Linked DNA regions of Alligator mississippiensis. Each later gene encodes a partner of the first gene's protein in a complex. Links are inferred from orthologs where the notes say so. Each region holds a gene or a part of one and is shown on either strand. Other genes may lie near its edges.

Region 1 (7,017 bases):
GTCCCCCATGAGAACCAGGGCCTGTGATGAGTCTGCTATCTGTTTGAAGAAGACCTCATTCACCTCTTCCTCCTGATCTGCTGGTCTATAGCACACACTCACCATGATATCACCCTTGTTCCTCTCCTCTCTGACCCCAACCCAGAGACTTTCAGCTAGTGGAGCACCAATACATCAGTTCATATCATATCTGCCCTGATAAAAGGAAAACTGACATTATTGGCAATCGGCTATTTTTGGCTGATAGGGCCAAATAAATGTCGCCAATAAATGCTACGTGCATGCGTGCAGCTGCAGCACACACGCAGCAGCAGCTTGGAGAGCAGCATCCTGCTGATAAGATGGGGCGGGGGGAAGGGCGTTGGGGGGGAAAGGGTGTGGAGGGGGCAGATCAAGGCCCCCACAGCAAGGGAGGGAGTGGGGCTGGGGCAGGTGCTGCCCAGCCACAGTAGGTCAGGGTGTGAGAAAAAGTCAGTGGCTTGTCCAGAGGAGGCACAGGGAGGTGCGTGGCTCCCTCCATTGCACGTACCCCCAGGGGAGGCATGTGCCCCCAGACCTGTGTGTGGGGCGAGGGTGGGTTGCTGCTGTAGGATAGAGCTGGAGGCTATGCTGGGCTTTTCCCAGTGGCTGTGCTCAGGCCAGGTGGGGTTGGGTAGGCAGCAGCAGCACTGGGAGGGGGGCTATGGTGAATTTTGGGGTGGCTCTAGCCCCCCCATGATCTCCCACCCAGTGCCACTGCTGCCACCTGCCCCACCCCACCTGAGCACAGCCCTGGCCCAGGCCACCCCCAGTGGGAAGAAGGAGGCATAGTCTCCGGCCTGGAGCGCACAGCAGCAGCCTGCCCTCACCCCACACACAGATCTAGGGGACACATGCCCTCCATGCCTCCCCCAGAGGTGCATGCAGTGACAGAAGCTGCACTCCCCCCTCCACCAGATGTGCTGTAGCTCTGTCCTGCACCCCACCCCAGCTGTTCAGCGCCTGTCCCAACCCCACTCCCTTACTGTGGGGGCCCTGTTTCCCCTCCACCCAAAAGACTTACCAGCTGGATGATGCTCTCCAAGCTACCAGGACGCATATTGGCAATCGGATCAGTATCAGCCAATATAGCTGGTTAATAATTGGTCACTGGTATCAGCCAAAAAAATCTTTATCTGGGCACCCCCACTTTCAACAGCCTATCTCCAGTTTCATACCAGAGCTCTGAGCAATCGTGTCCCTCTTTCACATTGAGTGCAACTCTTCCTCCTCTTCTCCCCTGCCTGCTGTTCCTGAACTGTTTGTACCCATCCATGACAGAGCTCCAGTCATGAGGGCTATCCCACCAAGTCTCTATTATTCCCCCACGTCAGTTCTGTGATATGTGCCCAGGAGCCCAGCTACTTCCTGTTCCTTGCTGGCTTTGGTGCTGGCAGTTTACTGTTCTGGCTGGGCCACCTGGTGGGAGCAGCAGGGAGGGGATGGGACTTTCCTTCCCTACAGCAGCAAGCAGCAATGCCTCACCCTGCACTTAACCTGACCCCACCCCCTTTTACTCTCCCCACCTGCCCTTTTTCCTCAAAGTCTTCTCTTTACAGTTTTACTTCTCCAGCCTTCTTGTACAAAGAGAATGCCCAGCCCAGCCACACAGACTGCAGGCAGGTCAGGCCTTGAGATGCCATTCGGGAATGCAGGCCAAAGTCCACCAAGTAGAGCTATAAGCCACCCTTGACAAAGGGGGCTACTTAGGGGACATCACTGATCGCTCAGGACAACTAAAGGACCAGAGTTAGGAGTGATTGTCACAGGATTAAAACAAATGCAGTTGGGGGACACCAAGCAGAACATGCCAGCCTGTGCCCATTGGCCCTCACATGAGTTCAAGGAGCCAGCGGACACTACCCAGGGATAGGAACAGGGCAGTGAACAGACCAGAGACAGGTCCTCCAGCCAGAGCCTTCTTCCTGGCCAGGTGGATTGCCAGGTTGGGTAAGGCCACTCAGGCAGGCCAGGCTCCTTCCACGCATCTGCTGAGCGACTGAAGCAGGAATCCAACATACTCTGGATCCACCCCTGGCCATGTCCCCTGCTACACGTGGAAATGAAAGCTGGTCACTGGCTAGGAAGTTACGGCACGTTTCCCCTCTCACATTACAGTGGGCCAGACTTTCTGAGGTGAGCTAGAGGCAACACTTTGCACACGTGGCTGGGCTAAATTGGCGGTGCAATTTGCCAGTCAAGCACAACACGTGTAATGGGGTGATGGGGCCCCAAGTGATGCAGGGCTATAGTGGGCAAGGCGGACCCGTGGGCTGACCCAGGATGTGACAGCTCTAACACAGTCTTCTGATCACACCCAACACTGTAATGGGGAGTGGGGGAGACGCCACCCCACCTGCAGTTAGCCTGGTACAAAGCACTGGGGTAGAGGCTGCCTGGGCTGACCAGAGCCCAGGGAGCAAAGCTGTGGTGAAGAAGGCCTCTCCTCCCCTACCCCAATGGTCTGTGCCCAGCTGACTACAGCCCAGGTGGCGCCTTCCTTCTCCCTCCATCCCCGGGTGGAACCTTCCTCCCCCGTGGTACCTTCCTCCCGACCCGATCCCCGGGTGGAACATTCCAATTCCCCTCAAGTGGTACCGTCCTCCTCCTTCCATCCCCAGTTGAAACCTCCCCCCCCCCTCCGCTGCCAAGTGGTCGAGCCCTATGGGAGACGTGTGCGTGTGGGGGGAGGGCTCACCCCACGTCAAGCGCCGACCCCCACCCCAGGGCCCCCGACAGAGGGGCTCACTTGCTGCTGTTGCCACCGCGACCCAGCCTCCCTTTACCTCCATGTCGGAGCCGCAGCCGGTGGCGGAAGGGAAAGGGGGAAAAAAACTCAGCCTAACGGCTCCTCCGCACCCCTCTGCATTCCTTGCCCTACTTCCGCCTTCGTCATCGTCCCGCGCCTCTGGCGTCACATTCTGCGCTACACCCAAGGTCGCAGCAACCGTTCCCTTACGTTGTCAGGCCGGGCCGGGGGTGAGATGCCACTCGGCCCGTCCGCTCTGCGCACGCGCGAAGCCGAACCAGCACCGCCCGGAAGCCGTTGCATACGTTAGAGCTAGGGGCGGGGCGAGTCCCGGGCTGTGTGCGCCCCCCCAGGTGTGGCGCCCGCCAGCGTTTGCCAATGTCCGTTCAAGACCACCACCCCCCACCAACGAATGCCAGCTCCCTACCTGCCTTGGACTAGTGAAAAGGGTCCAGGGAGGGTCTGAGTCAATCAGTCATCTCAGGCTTTAGGAGGCCAGAAGGAAAAAGGGGACGAGGCGGACTTTTCCAAACAAGTTCTGTGAAAAGGGCTGAATTCCATTTGTAATTAGGAACCAGGAGTAAATGTATAGCTGTTGTCAAACATGAACTGCCTTTGGGAACAGTTAAGGTGGCAGTAGGACATGCTTCCTGGAAGAGAAGCACAAAAACCGGGAAATAAGTTAAAAGGAAACCTGTGTTTCTTGCCCCTTCCATGCTGCAAAAACCACCATTAATGTACTCCAGCACTCAACAAAGTTTTCTTTTCTGATGCCAACTGATCCCTGCAAGCAGCATCATACTTAGACTTCTGGCGACCCCGGGCAGACTTTTAGTATTGAACCTCCCCCCCCCCCCCTTGCTGGAGATAATGATAATAATTATTATTTTCACTCCCTTTCTGTCTGGGCCCCGGGTAACCACCCAGTTAGCCCATGCCTGTGGCTCTGCCTGCAAGCAACATATAGTTTAGCTTCATTTAACATGCAGCCTCCCTCAAAAACCTTAACAGTAAGTTATACAGGCAATTGGTTCCTGAAAACCTCATCTTAAGTCAAAACGTAATTTGGAACTGATTTGCTCATAAGAAATAATTTTATAAATGGGGGATTGGTTCCAGAACCAAGGCCCGATACCCTATTTTCACCAAAAATACCCCAGAATTTTGTACTCAAATCAATTACAGATGAGTAATATAGCTACGTTAATATGTTTATATTGTAAATAGCAATCATATTGATTTAGAAGGACTTATTTGAGGTGACTTTGCTGGACGTTTTGAAGGACTCTTGGTTTGACTTTTTGAAGGGCTCTTGGCTGGAGTCTTCTCAGGAGTCTTGGCTGCAGGTTTTTCTGGAGTCTTGTCTGCTTTCTTAAAGAAAGTGTCCAAGGAAGTTTGGACAGATGTTCTCCAGGGAGATGAGCAATGCAGTGAACTTGTTCGTTGGCGTGGCATTGCATCGGACCAAGCGTTGTAAGTCAAAACTGGCGTAAAGTTGAAACAGGGTGTCAATTTATAAATGTTGTAAGTGTGAAATGTTGTAACTCGCAACGTAAGTCGAGGACTGCCTGTATATCAACTATAGCAATAGATAGGCACCCACAAGTCACAGCTCCAGTACATTTGAACACTTCTGAGGTCATTGCTAAGGTTTCATTTGAGAATGCTAGAAGGTTCCCCAAGCAAAAAATTAAACACCATACTTGACCAAATCCAAAATGACTTTGAATTTAAGATGACCCCCCAATAATTAATTACTGTATATACATGAAAAAATATAAATGTATTAAATTATTCCACATATAGAATCTAGTTCTCGTCATCTTAAATTTGTCACTCACACTACTGCAATGGGAAAAGCAGAGGCAGGGAAGTTTCCCTGCCTGTCCTGCCTCCCCTGCCCCCTTGCCCCAATATTGAATATAAGTGCCTGCCCCTGGGCACTTGTCCCTCCCATTGTTGCTTTCCCTATGTGGCAGCTATAGCTTTGGCCCAGGGTGACTCCAGCCCCATCTAGGCAGCAGTGGCAGCAGCAGCAACACCAGCAGCAGCTTAAGCCCTAGGTTGGGGTCTGAGCCAGAGTTGGAGCTGCGGCAGCTCCCCTGCTCCTTTGAAGTCTCCCCTGCACTGCCCTGGGCTGCAGCATGCAATCTCTCTGCCATGCTCCCCTATCCACTGCACCATGCTCCACCCCATTTGTACAGTCTCTCTGTGTTGCCCTCCCCCACAGTCTCCTTGCACCCTCCCCTGCACCATGTGTTGTCCTGCAAGTCGGGGCCAGAGTCAGAGATGTAGTAGCTGCCTGTTTTTGGACCATGCTCCAATTTAAGATGATGGGGTTTTTTTTATCCCATGTTGAATGGGGAATAAACCTCATTGGGATTTGAGTAAATACAGTAATAATTGCTCACTAACTTATGCTGATGTTAAACCATAACTTACAAAATATAGTCTTTTAAAATAAGAAAGTCTGCTTTCAAGAGGCATTCTTTTGTTGTGAATCAGGCAAAAACATACTATGGTCCTACAAAGACTAGTATCTGAGTTTGAACCTTTGGATTTCTATTTTACAATAATATTACTGCTCGAACTACAAAAATAGTGTATTTCAAGTTCATCTATATGAAGATGAATTGGACACACACTTTTCTAGTGGCTTACCCAATTTTTTTCTAGTCAGCAATAGAATATCTGTGAACAGGACTTATAAAGTCTCTCTGAAGCTTTGGCTCATGGATGCATGAATAGTGGTTAGATGATAACCCAAACTCAGTTACTTTAAGACAATGTGGAACATTGGAAACAAAATCGTGAATTTTATGTAAAAGCCTGGTTTTAGATCTGCAGTGATCTTTTTGCAACCTGTCTCCCAACTTATCTGAGAAATAGGGGTAGGAAGAATAAAACATTTAGCATTTTTTTGCAGTTTGTCTTATAGGTTAGTTTTCAGAAGGTGGCCATTACATAGGGAGTGAATTGCAGGGGGATTTAACCACTTAAATGAGGTCTGAACTCTTGGTTTCCTCTGTCCCAGCTCAGAGAATTATTCATGCAGAATTATTGTCAAATTAAAATTTGGTCAATTTACTATGTCTTCCATTGTGGCTAAAACATTCTAAAGTGCTTTATAGGTGAATGATATAACTGATACGGTAACTGGTAAATCATGAAATAAAACAGAATAGGGATGGCAAAAGATGCATTTCTGAAAATGAAAAAGATATTGGCAAATAGTAAAATTTCTATAGGGACGAAGCTAAGCATTTTGGATTGCTAAGTTTCATAGGTTTCATAGACATTAGGCTGGAAGGGACCTTGGAAGATCTTCAAGTCCAGGCTCCTGCCCCAGGGGCAGGAAATCAGCAAGGGTCATAGGATCCCCACAAGATAAACATCCAAATGTCTCTTGAAGGCATTCAAAGTAGGTGCTTGAACCACCTCCAGCGGCAGTCTATTCCAGACCTTCGGGGCTCGGACAGTAAAGAAGTTCTTCCTTATGTCCAGCCTGAAATGGTCATGGAGGAGTTTATGACCATTCAACCTTGTCATCCCTTGGGGTGCTCTGATGAACAAACGTTCCCCCAGATCCTGGTGAGCACCCTTGATAAACTTATAGGCATCCACCAGATCACCCCTGAGCCTGCGCCTTTCCAGGCTGAACAATCCCATAGCTCTCAGCCTCTCATCATAAGGTCTGTTTTCCTGACTTCTGATCATGCATGTGGCTCTCCTCTGGACTCACTGGTTATACCAGTCCTCATGTATACATCAGAATGCTGGACAATATTGCCAAGTGTGGAAAAGAGAATTGAAGTCAACTGGGATGTGGTTCTTAAGGCACATCTTGAAGGTGTGTTGGACAAGTCATACCTCGAAGGAAGATATTTTGTCAAGAGCAAGCTTCAAGAGGAAGCTGCTGATTAACATCAGAAAGAGACAGTTGGAATTTCTTGGACATGTTATGAGGAAAGACGAAATTGAAAGTCTGGTTGTAACTGGAGAGACAGAAGAAAGGAGAGATCATGGAAGACAGAGGTTGACTTATGTCAAGAGTCTATCTAAATGTATCAACGCTGGAAATTTTGTATGCCTCAAAGAGAAGAGATCTCTGGAAGACCGTGGTCACTAGCGTCCTATTTGGATATGCTATGAAGAGAGAGAGAGAGATCCCCAGATTCCATAATGGCTTTTTGGAGGCTTTTTTTTCCATAATCAACTAGAAAACAAAAGTATTATGTACATTCTTGTGT
Region 2 (7,030 bases), about 120 Mb from region 1:
AGTCACCTGACATGAAGTAAGATCAAAGACACTAAAGGGAATCAGAATATTATATATATATTTTACTGTAGCTGCATTTAATCCCTCAGCACAAAGCTGTCTTTTCAGGAAAGATTAACATATTTAAAATGACTAAACTCTATGTAATCTGCAATCACCGAAGAAGTTAATTCAATTAAGGCAAGCCCCTGTTAATATTTTTTTTAATTTCTTGCTAGTCGCCCTACAATGCACAGCTTACATCGCAAGTCAGAGAGATGAGATACACACAGAGGTGCTTTTAGCTATCCATGGAATAAAATGCAGGTTTGCAATCAATCTACAGCAAGCACCTGAGGTTTCATCGATCCAGTTTTGAACCAGAAAAAGCATACTCTCACTGAGAACCAGCGATTTGCAGTAAATCCCAAAAGAAGCTGCAAGTGACCTTATGTCATGCAGCTAACACACCGACTGACTGGCATGGGCAGGGGAGGGCTCCAAGGGATGGACGACTGCAGCAGTGTGTCAGCTTTCATTCTCCAACATGCAGGGCTCAAGGTGTTGATGCAACAAAAATGAAAGCCAGATAAATTTTAGTAACTGAGGAGATGCAAGAAGCAGGGAGACAGAGGGGGCTTTATTTCAGAGATTAAATCAGAAGCCCCCAAACCTTCTTTGTTCAGAAAAAAAAACACACATTATTGCTGACAATAATGCATAGCATAATCTGGAGAAGAAAGAAAAAAAAAATCACTGCAGTGCAAGCAAACGTGTTTATTTAGGTAGAAAGCTGCACTGAATTGCCACGATACAGCCAAGGAGAAAAAAGGATGCTATTTCCATCGTTGGCCGATCACTTTTCCAAATAAAATACAAAAATAGATTCGGCAGAAACATTCCCTATTTCACAAGGCAAGACATTCTCTTTGAACACTTGGCTGCTTCTCCTGTGCCAGCTCGAAAGCCTTTAACGAGGTCCAATTAAGAACCAGGCAGCAGTAGCACATACATTTCTTGAAAAGATTGTAGGAAGCCAACACAAGAGGCATGATCTTAGCCCTGACATTCTGGTCTAGCTAATCAACAGCAGCACCCCCGTAACGTTTGATTTGCTTTTCTGAAGGGATTGAAAGGAAACAATGCCAGGGCAGCGTTCTGCTTTCCTACGAGTGGCAGCTAGATACCTTTAATGACGGCCTTCCAACCAGGCAGACAACCATTCAGTGAAACAGGAAGCGAACAGAACATCCCAGTGGCAACAGCTTTTTCAGAAAAGGACGCCTTGATTTGTAAAAGCCGCTGTTATGCAAGGCTTTGCACCCTCCAACGCCAACACAGTGAGGACAGACAAGGAGAGCAAGCTAAACAGGGGCGGAAAATTCCAGCGTTAACATTCCCAGCACTGATCAAGAGATGTTCAGGCTTTTTCTTCCTTGTACAGAAGACCACCATTAGCATATCTATCTAGTTACTAAGGCTAGACGCAACTGATCTTTATGCCGACATGGCTTTGTCCAAATCTCGCTTGGAGAGCAGAAGCAGCCTGGAATAAACAGGCATTTCCAAGCCACGCACAAGAACTCTGTTTAATGAGGTCTCAGAAATGCATCAGGATTGCCTATACTACAAGGACACCGGCTCATGAATGCGTGCCCCCAGCAGCTTTAGAGGAGCCAGCTTGGGTACGGCTACCAGGTGGCACAGCGCTGCCTACCTGGACCACTTGCCTGTGCATTTACCCCGCTTTTTGGGTGGATCTGGCAGATCATACTGGATTGCAGGTGGTTGTTGCTACTCTGCTAGCATTATGCAAGCCGGCGAGCTCGGAGAAGCTGGTGAGCTTAAAAGTAGCTTGGGTGCGTAGACATGAGCTAGTGTTTGCGAGACTGGAAGTACTTTGCTGCATCACTCCATCCTTCCCAGACAAACACACGTATGTTCAAGGGGAATCATCATACTCATGTGTCCAGAATCACTACCAGGAGAGGAGGATTCAGACCATCGGGCACGCAAACCCACGGGCGAGGACAGCAGCTGCCGCGATCCAGCAAGCAGCACCCAGAGAACAAATCCGTTACTGTGCCACGGATCAAACCGCCCTTTGAGACGCACGCCGCACGCAGAGTAAATCTCGGCCCTACGATCAAAGAGGCCGCAGAGCCTGCGAGGAGCGCGGCCGGCATCGGATCGATCCTGACCTGGTACCGACAGCGTCTTCCGCACGCGAACCGCTCTCAAGATCCTCGTAAAACGGCTGGCCGAGCAACACCTCGCTGCTGGCGCCCGGGACTCACGTGGTGGGGGGGGGGGTGTCACTCGGGGGCTATTGCGACAAAGGGGAAATAAAGAGAAGAGGCAGGCCAAAGGGAAGGGCCCACGTACGTGGCTTGACTCCCCTCGTACCGCGGAGGGCGATGGAAGTGACACCGACACCGACGTCCTTGTGGGAAGCACGGGGGGTGTTTAGCAATGCGGGCGCAGCAGCACCCCGTGCCCCGACGTCCCCCTCATTAAATCGGGGTGAAAAAGCACTCACCACTGCTGACGTGCAAAGGGCGGGGGGGGGGGGGGGGGCCAAGCCAGGCCTCCCCATCTCTTCCCTGCCAAAAGGTGGAGGAGATGCTCGCTCACTCGAGGTGTGTGTGTGTGTGTTGGGGGGGGATCTCCCTGCCCCCCCTCATTGCAGGGAGGGGACGCAGCCCCATGTGGGCAAACCCGCCCCCCCCCGCCGGGCACAGCCCAGTCCCCACGGCTGAGGGGGTGCAATAAGGGAGGGGGGGGGAGGAGGGGTGCGGCGCTCACCGCTCTGCTCGCCCAGGAAAACCAGCTTGAATTTCCGCAGCGGGTTCCCGAAGTCGCCGCCCGCCGACATGGCGGCGCCGGGGCCGGTGCTGAGGCGGTGCGGGTGCGGGCGCGGGGCCGAGGCCGGGGCTGACGACTGGAAGCGCGCCGTGCAACCGCTCCCGAGCGCCCGGCGGCGGTGGCGGCGGCTGTAGCGACGGTGGCGGTGGCGCAACGCAACCTGCTGGGCTGTGCGCGCGCAGCTAGGGGGCGGGGTCGCGCTCGGCTCCTCCCCTGTACACGTCAGCGCGCACGCCCCTCAGCCAATAGGAGCGCGAGGATGGGGGGAGCGGGGGGAGCGGCGCGCGGCGGGGGCCATGCCGAGTGTGGCAGCGGTGACGTCAGCGGGCCGGGGCGGAGGGCTCCCGGGGGTGTGCGAGGCTGGGAGCCGGCTGTGCAATTATGTGATTCCTCTGCTTGCTCCGGTCAGCGCCAAGCTGAGTTGATTTAAGCTGGTAACAAAAGAATGACGGTCTTGTGTGAAAGAAAACTTTTCACAACGATAAAGAAAGGAGAAAAAAAACCCAAAAAAATCAAGGCCATCGGCTGTTTGCAAAAGGCACGGGCCGCTCCGTATCGCGCACGACACGCCAGCAACATAAGAAGTTCAAATAACAAAATTTAAGCAATCATTAAATAAAGCCAAAGCAGAGCGGCAGAGCAGAAGGGGAGCACCGGACGGGGGAGCAGAAAGCAGAGCAGAAGGGGAGCACGGGGCGGTGGGAGCAGAAAGCAGAGCAGAAGATCCAGAAGGGGAGCACTGGGCAGGGCGAGCAGAAAGCAGAGTGGCAGATCAGAAGGGGAACACCAAACGGGGGGAGCAGAAAGCAGAGCGGCATATCAGAAGGGGGGTACCAGACGGTGAAGCAGAAAGCAGAGACGCAGATCCAGAAGGGAAGCACCAGACAGGGGGAGCAGAGAGCAGAGCAGAAGGGGAGCACTGGGCAGAGGGAGTGGAAGCAGAGCAGCAGATCCAGAAGGGGAGCACCAGGCGAGGGGAGCAGAAAGCAGAGTGGCAGATCCAGAAGGGGAGCACTGGGTAGGGGGAGCAGAAAGCAGAGCGGCAGATCAGGGGAGCAGAAAGCAGAGCAGCGTATCAGAAGGGGGACACCAGACAGTGAAGCAGAAAGCAGAGAGGCAGATCCAGAAGCGAAGCACCAGCCGGGGAGCAGAGAGCAGAGCAGAAGGGGAGCACCGGGCGGAGGGAGCAGAAAGCAGGATGGCAGATCCAGAAGGGGAGCACCGGGCGGGGGGAGCAGAAAGCAGAGCAGCAGAGCAGGCAGGGCAAGGAGATCGGAGTGGCACTGGCGAGCAGCGTGGTGCATAGGCAGCAGAAAGCCGGGGCTTGGGGGGTCTTAGCCCCTGCAAACTCATTTTGCGGCACCGCTCGGCGTGCAGCCAGGCCAGCGCCCCAGGCGCGCTCAGCTCCGCGCGGCTGAGGAAGAAGAGGCTAACCGCGCGTGCGCCGCACTGCACAGCGCACGATGGGGGTTGTCGTGCTCATGCTGATGCCTGCACTCAACCCCCGCCCCCAATAATATTTTCTCTCCCTGTCTATGGTGTGAGGCTGCTTGGTGGCATGCCTGCCAAAAAGGTTGCCCCCCACCGCAATCTACTCATTCCAACCCTTGGCTAGGATGGTCGTGACAGAGCTGAGCTGCCTTGGACAGGGGGCTGGACTGGATGGCCTCTGGATGGCCCTGACAACCCTCCGCTCTTCTGTGATCCTAGAAAATGCTCGATGGATGGGAGCAAACCCAACCTCACTGCTCCTTTGCATTTTTCCCATGCTGCTGCATACGCCTCTGCGTTTTCCCATGCATGTTAAAGACAGGAAGTGGAGGGGCCGCGAGTCAAAAGTGTGTTGGAGACACGGGTAAAGTCTAAGCTAAGAGCTGGGTTCATCATCGGGGCTGGCATTAGAGCAGTGCAAAGCACCCCGACTTGCCCTTGTAGCCTTGACAATGACTAGTAGCTGTCAAATCCAGGACCGTGGCGGGTATGGTTGTCTAACAAAGACCAGGGCCTGATAGCAAGCTTTGCCCCTGGTCCCCAAAAGGGAAGCCCTGACCCTGTTCCTCATTGCACCTTATTCACTGTGCACAGGCCCCAGGGTTGGGGCGGGGGACAGAGGCCAAGGCTGCTTTAAACCACCTCTGCTGATCCATTATTTTGGGATCAGTGAGGGACTGTCAAGGTAAAGCACACTGCAGCACTGTCCTCCCTGGCACCTGGCTGCCAGGAATAGCCTGGGTCCTGCAGCTCTCCCCAGCTGCAATCTCTTATGAATGCCCCCCCCATATGCTGCCTGATGCCCAAAGGGAGGAGGGAAGTTGACACCCAGCTTGTTTCACACTACGGGGAGATTTTCCTTCCACCAGCCAACTTCCCTAATGACAAGGTAGAGCTGCTACTTGGCCCCTTTGCACCAGCACCAGGCGAGGGAATTGGCACAAGCAGAAGCTGGGTCCTATATGACTTGCCCCAGGTCAGAGAGCAAACTAGAGGTGGATTAAGCCAGAGTTCTTGTTTAGACCACATCTTTTCCCCTGTAGAGAGGGCTGTGCTAAATAGACCCCCGAACCTTAATGTTATCAAGACACACCATCTCCTCCAGCCTTTTCCTCTTGGGTACAAAAAGCAGCTGCTGCAGGTTTGTGCTTTGACTCGGGTCCCCAGGCTCACACGTGTAACTTCAACTTTGCCCTCCCCATGATGAAAACCCTTGCAACGTGTTTCAATGAGCCATTTAAAAACCTTAGTCATGAATGATTCAAATCTCTCGTATTGTCACGGCTTGGCAGGCTCCTAGCATGACAGACCTAGATTGCTTGCAAAGGAAAAGGCAGAGCCTATCACAGCTTAGCCTTTAAACAGCTTTTGCAAGCAGACTGTGTAGGGAATGTATTTTTTTTCCCTGCTGAGAGCTATTCATTTTCTGTTGTCCTCTCCCAAGTAGCCATCGAGGTAGCTCTGGAGTTGGGGATTATAATTACTTTGGACTAGCTCCAAAATTTTATACATCAATCTATCACTGCTGCTGTGGCTGCTACTACGCTTTCATGCAGCTGCGGCATTTGTACCTCTGTCTGATGTAACACTTTCTTCCTCTGCCACCAGCAGCTTCCCAAGCTTCAGCTCCTGTCCTGAGATTTAAAAAAAAAAAACCCTGGCCCATTTTGGCTTCCCTGCTATGTATTTTAAGCAGACATTGAAAGTCATGCACTTCCGTTGCCGCAAGTCTTGAGAGAATCAGAATTTTCCAGACTGGTTGCCAAAAGAGCCCGGGATCCTGAGCTGAGGACAAGCTGCCTTTGGTGCACATCAGCTGTAAGTCTGCAATGATCTTCAAATTCCCTCAATCCAGAGGGAAGTCCAGGCATTGTGCACATCCCCCGCATAAATAGAGCAATGCTTGAGGTTACCATCATTTATACTGGCTGTCAAGAGTCTGCAGGATAACAGTAACTTAGCCACCTCATTCCTTTAGCCATGCCTCTGCCCTAGGATGCAGATCCAAGCATGCTGCTGTAGAGGGGAATCCTCCAGGGACCATGAGACACAGCTGTCTGTACTGATGGAGGGGGCAAGCCAGGGGCAGGAGCCCTGGAAATCAGGCCTCATATTTTTTACTGTCTCCTGCATACAATAATGCTTGTATAGCTTGGTCAGCCCCAGTCTGTCAAACAAGTCACTGTTTTTCCTTTGCTGCTGTGAGCTGCCAGGGTGGGTTGTATCAAGAATGAGAAAAGGGGGTCGGACTCAATGATCTATTGAGGTCCCTTCCGACCCTAACACCTAACATCTATGAAAATATACTGCCTTCATTACTCATTCACTTATTATTGATTGGACCCCAGCAGTCTTATGAGCTGCATAAGCGTGGAAGAAAATGTTCTCCCAAGGATGGAAATCACAGCAGCCTTGCCCTCAGAAACACTGGCAAAGCTCCTGCTGGCATTGGTGGGATTTACAGACTGGGCTAGTGGACAAAAGTGCTGGTCTGGGACTCGGGATACCTGGGCTCTTTTTCTCTGCTCTGCCACTAGCCACCTGGGTGATCTTGGGCATGTCACTTCACTTCTCCTGGCCTCACTTTCCTTAGGTGTGAAATGGAGATGATACTACTGTCCTCCTTCATAACCACCTTTCAGACCAACTGATGCAAAGCATTAGGTAAGAGCTAGGAATGTTTTTATTGTTTAGG

The links.
Region 2: the proteins of GCC2 (region 1) and RAB6A are in contact, whole or in part, in a crystal structure (PDB 3BBP), measured with the Homo sapiens proteins. The link is inferred for Alligator mississippiensis from reciprocal best matches to the Homo sapiens genes GCC2 and RAB6A. Residues at the interface, in NP_852118.2 of Homo sapiens: Thr1585, Ile1588, Leu1589, Glu1591, Gln1592, Leu1595, Leu1596, Glu1599, Arg1602; in NP_942599.1 of Homo sapiens: Lys15, Ile46, Gly47, Ile48, Trp67, Arg74, Phe75, Ser77, Leu78, Ser81, Tyr82, Asp85.

The regions. Positions count from the first base shown.
Region 1 is NC_081824.1:349,384,860-349,391,876, reverse strand, and holds the start of GCC2 (GRIP and coiled-coil domain-containing protein 2), read right to left. Parts: upstream 3,003-7,017; 5' UTR 2,811-3,002; coding exon 2,805-2,810; intron 1-2,804. UniProt on the Homo sapiens protein: Golgin which probably tethers transport vesicles to the trans-Golgi network (TGN) and regulates vesicular transport between the endosomes and the Golgi.
Region 2 is NC_081824.1:467,028,744-467,035,773, reverse strand, and holds the start of RAB6A (ras-related protein Rab-6A), read right to left. Parts: upstream 3,005-7,030; 5' UTR 2,855-3,004; coding exon 2,785-2,854; intron 1-2,784. UniProt on the Homo sapiens protein: The small GTPases Rab are key regulators of intracellular membrane trafficking, from the formation of transport vesicles to their fusion with membranes.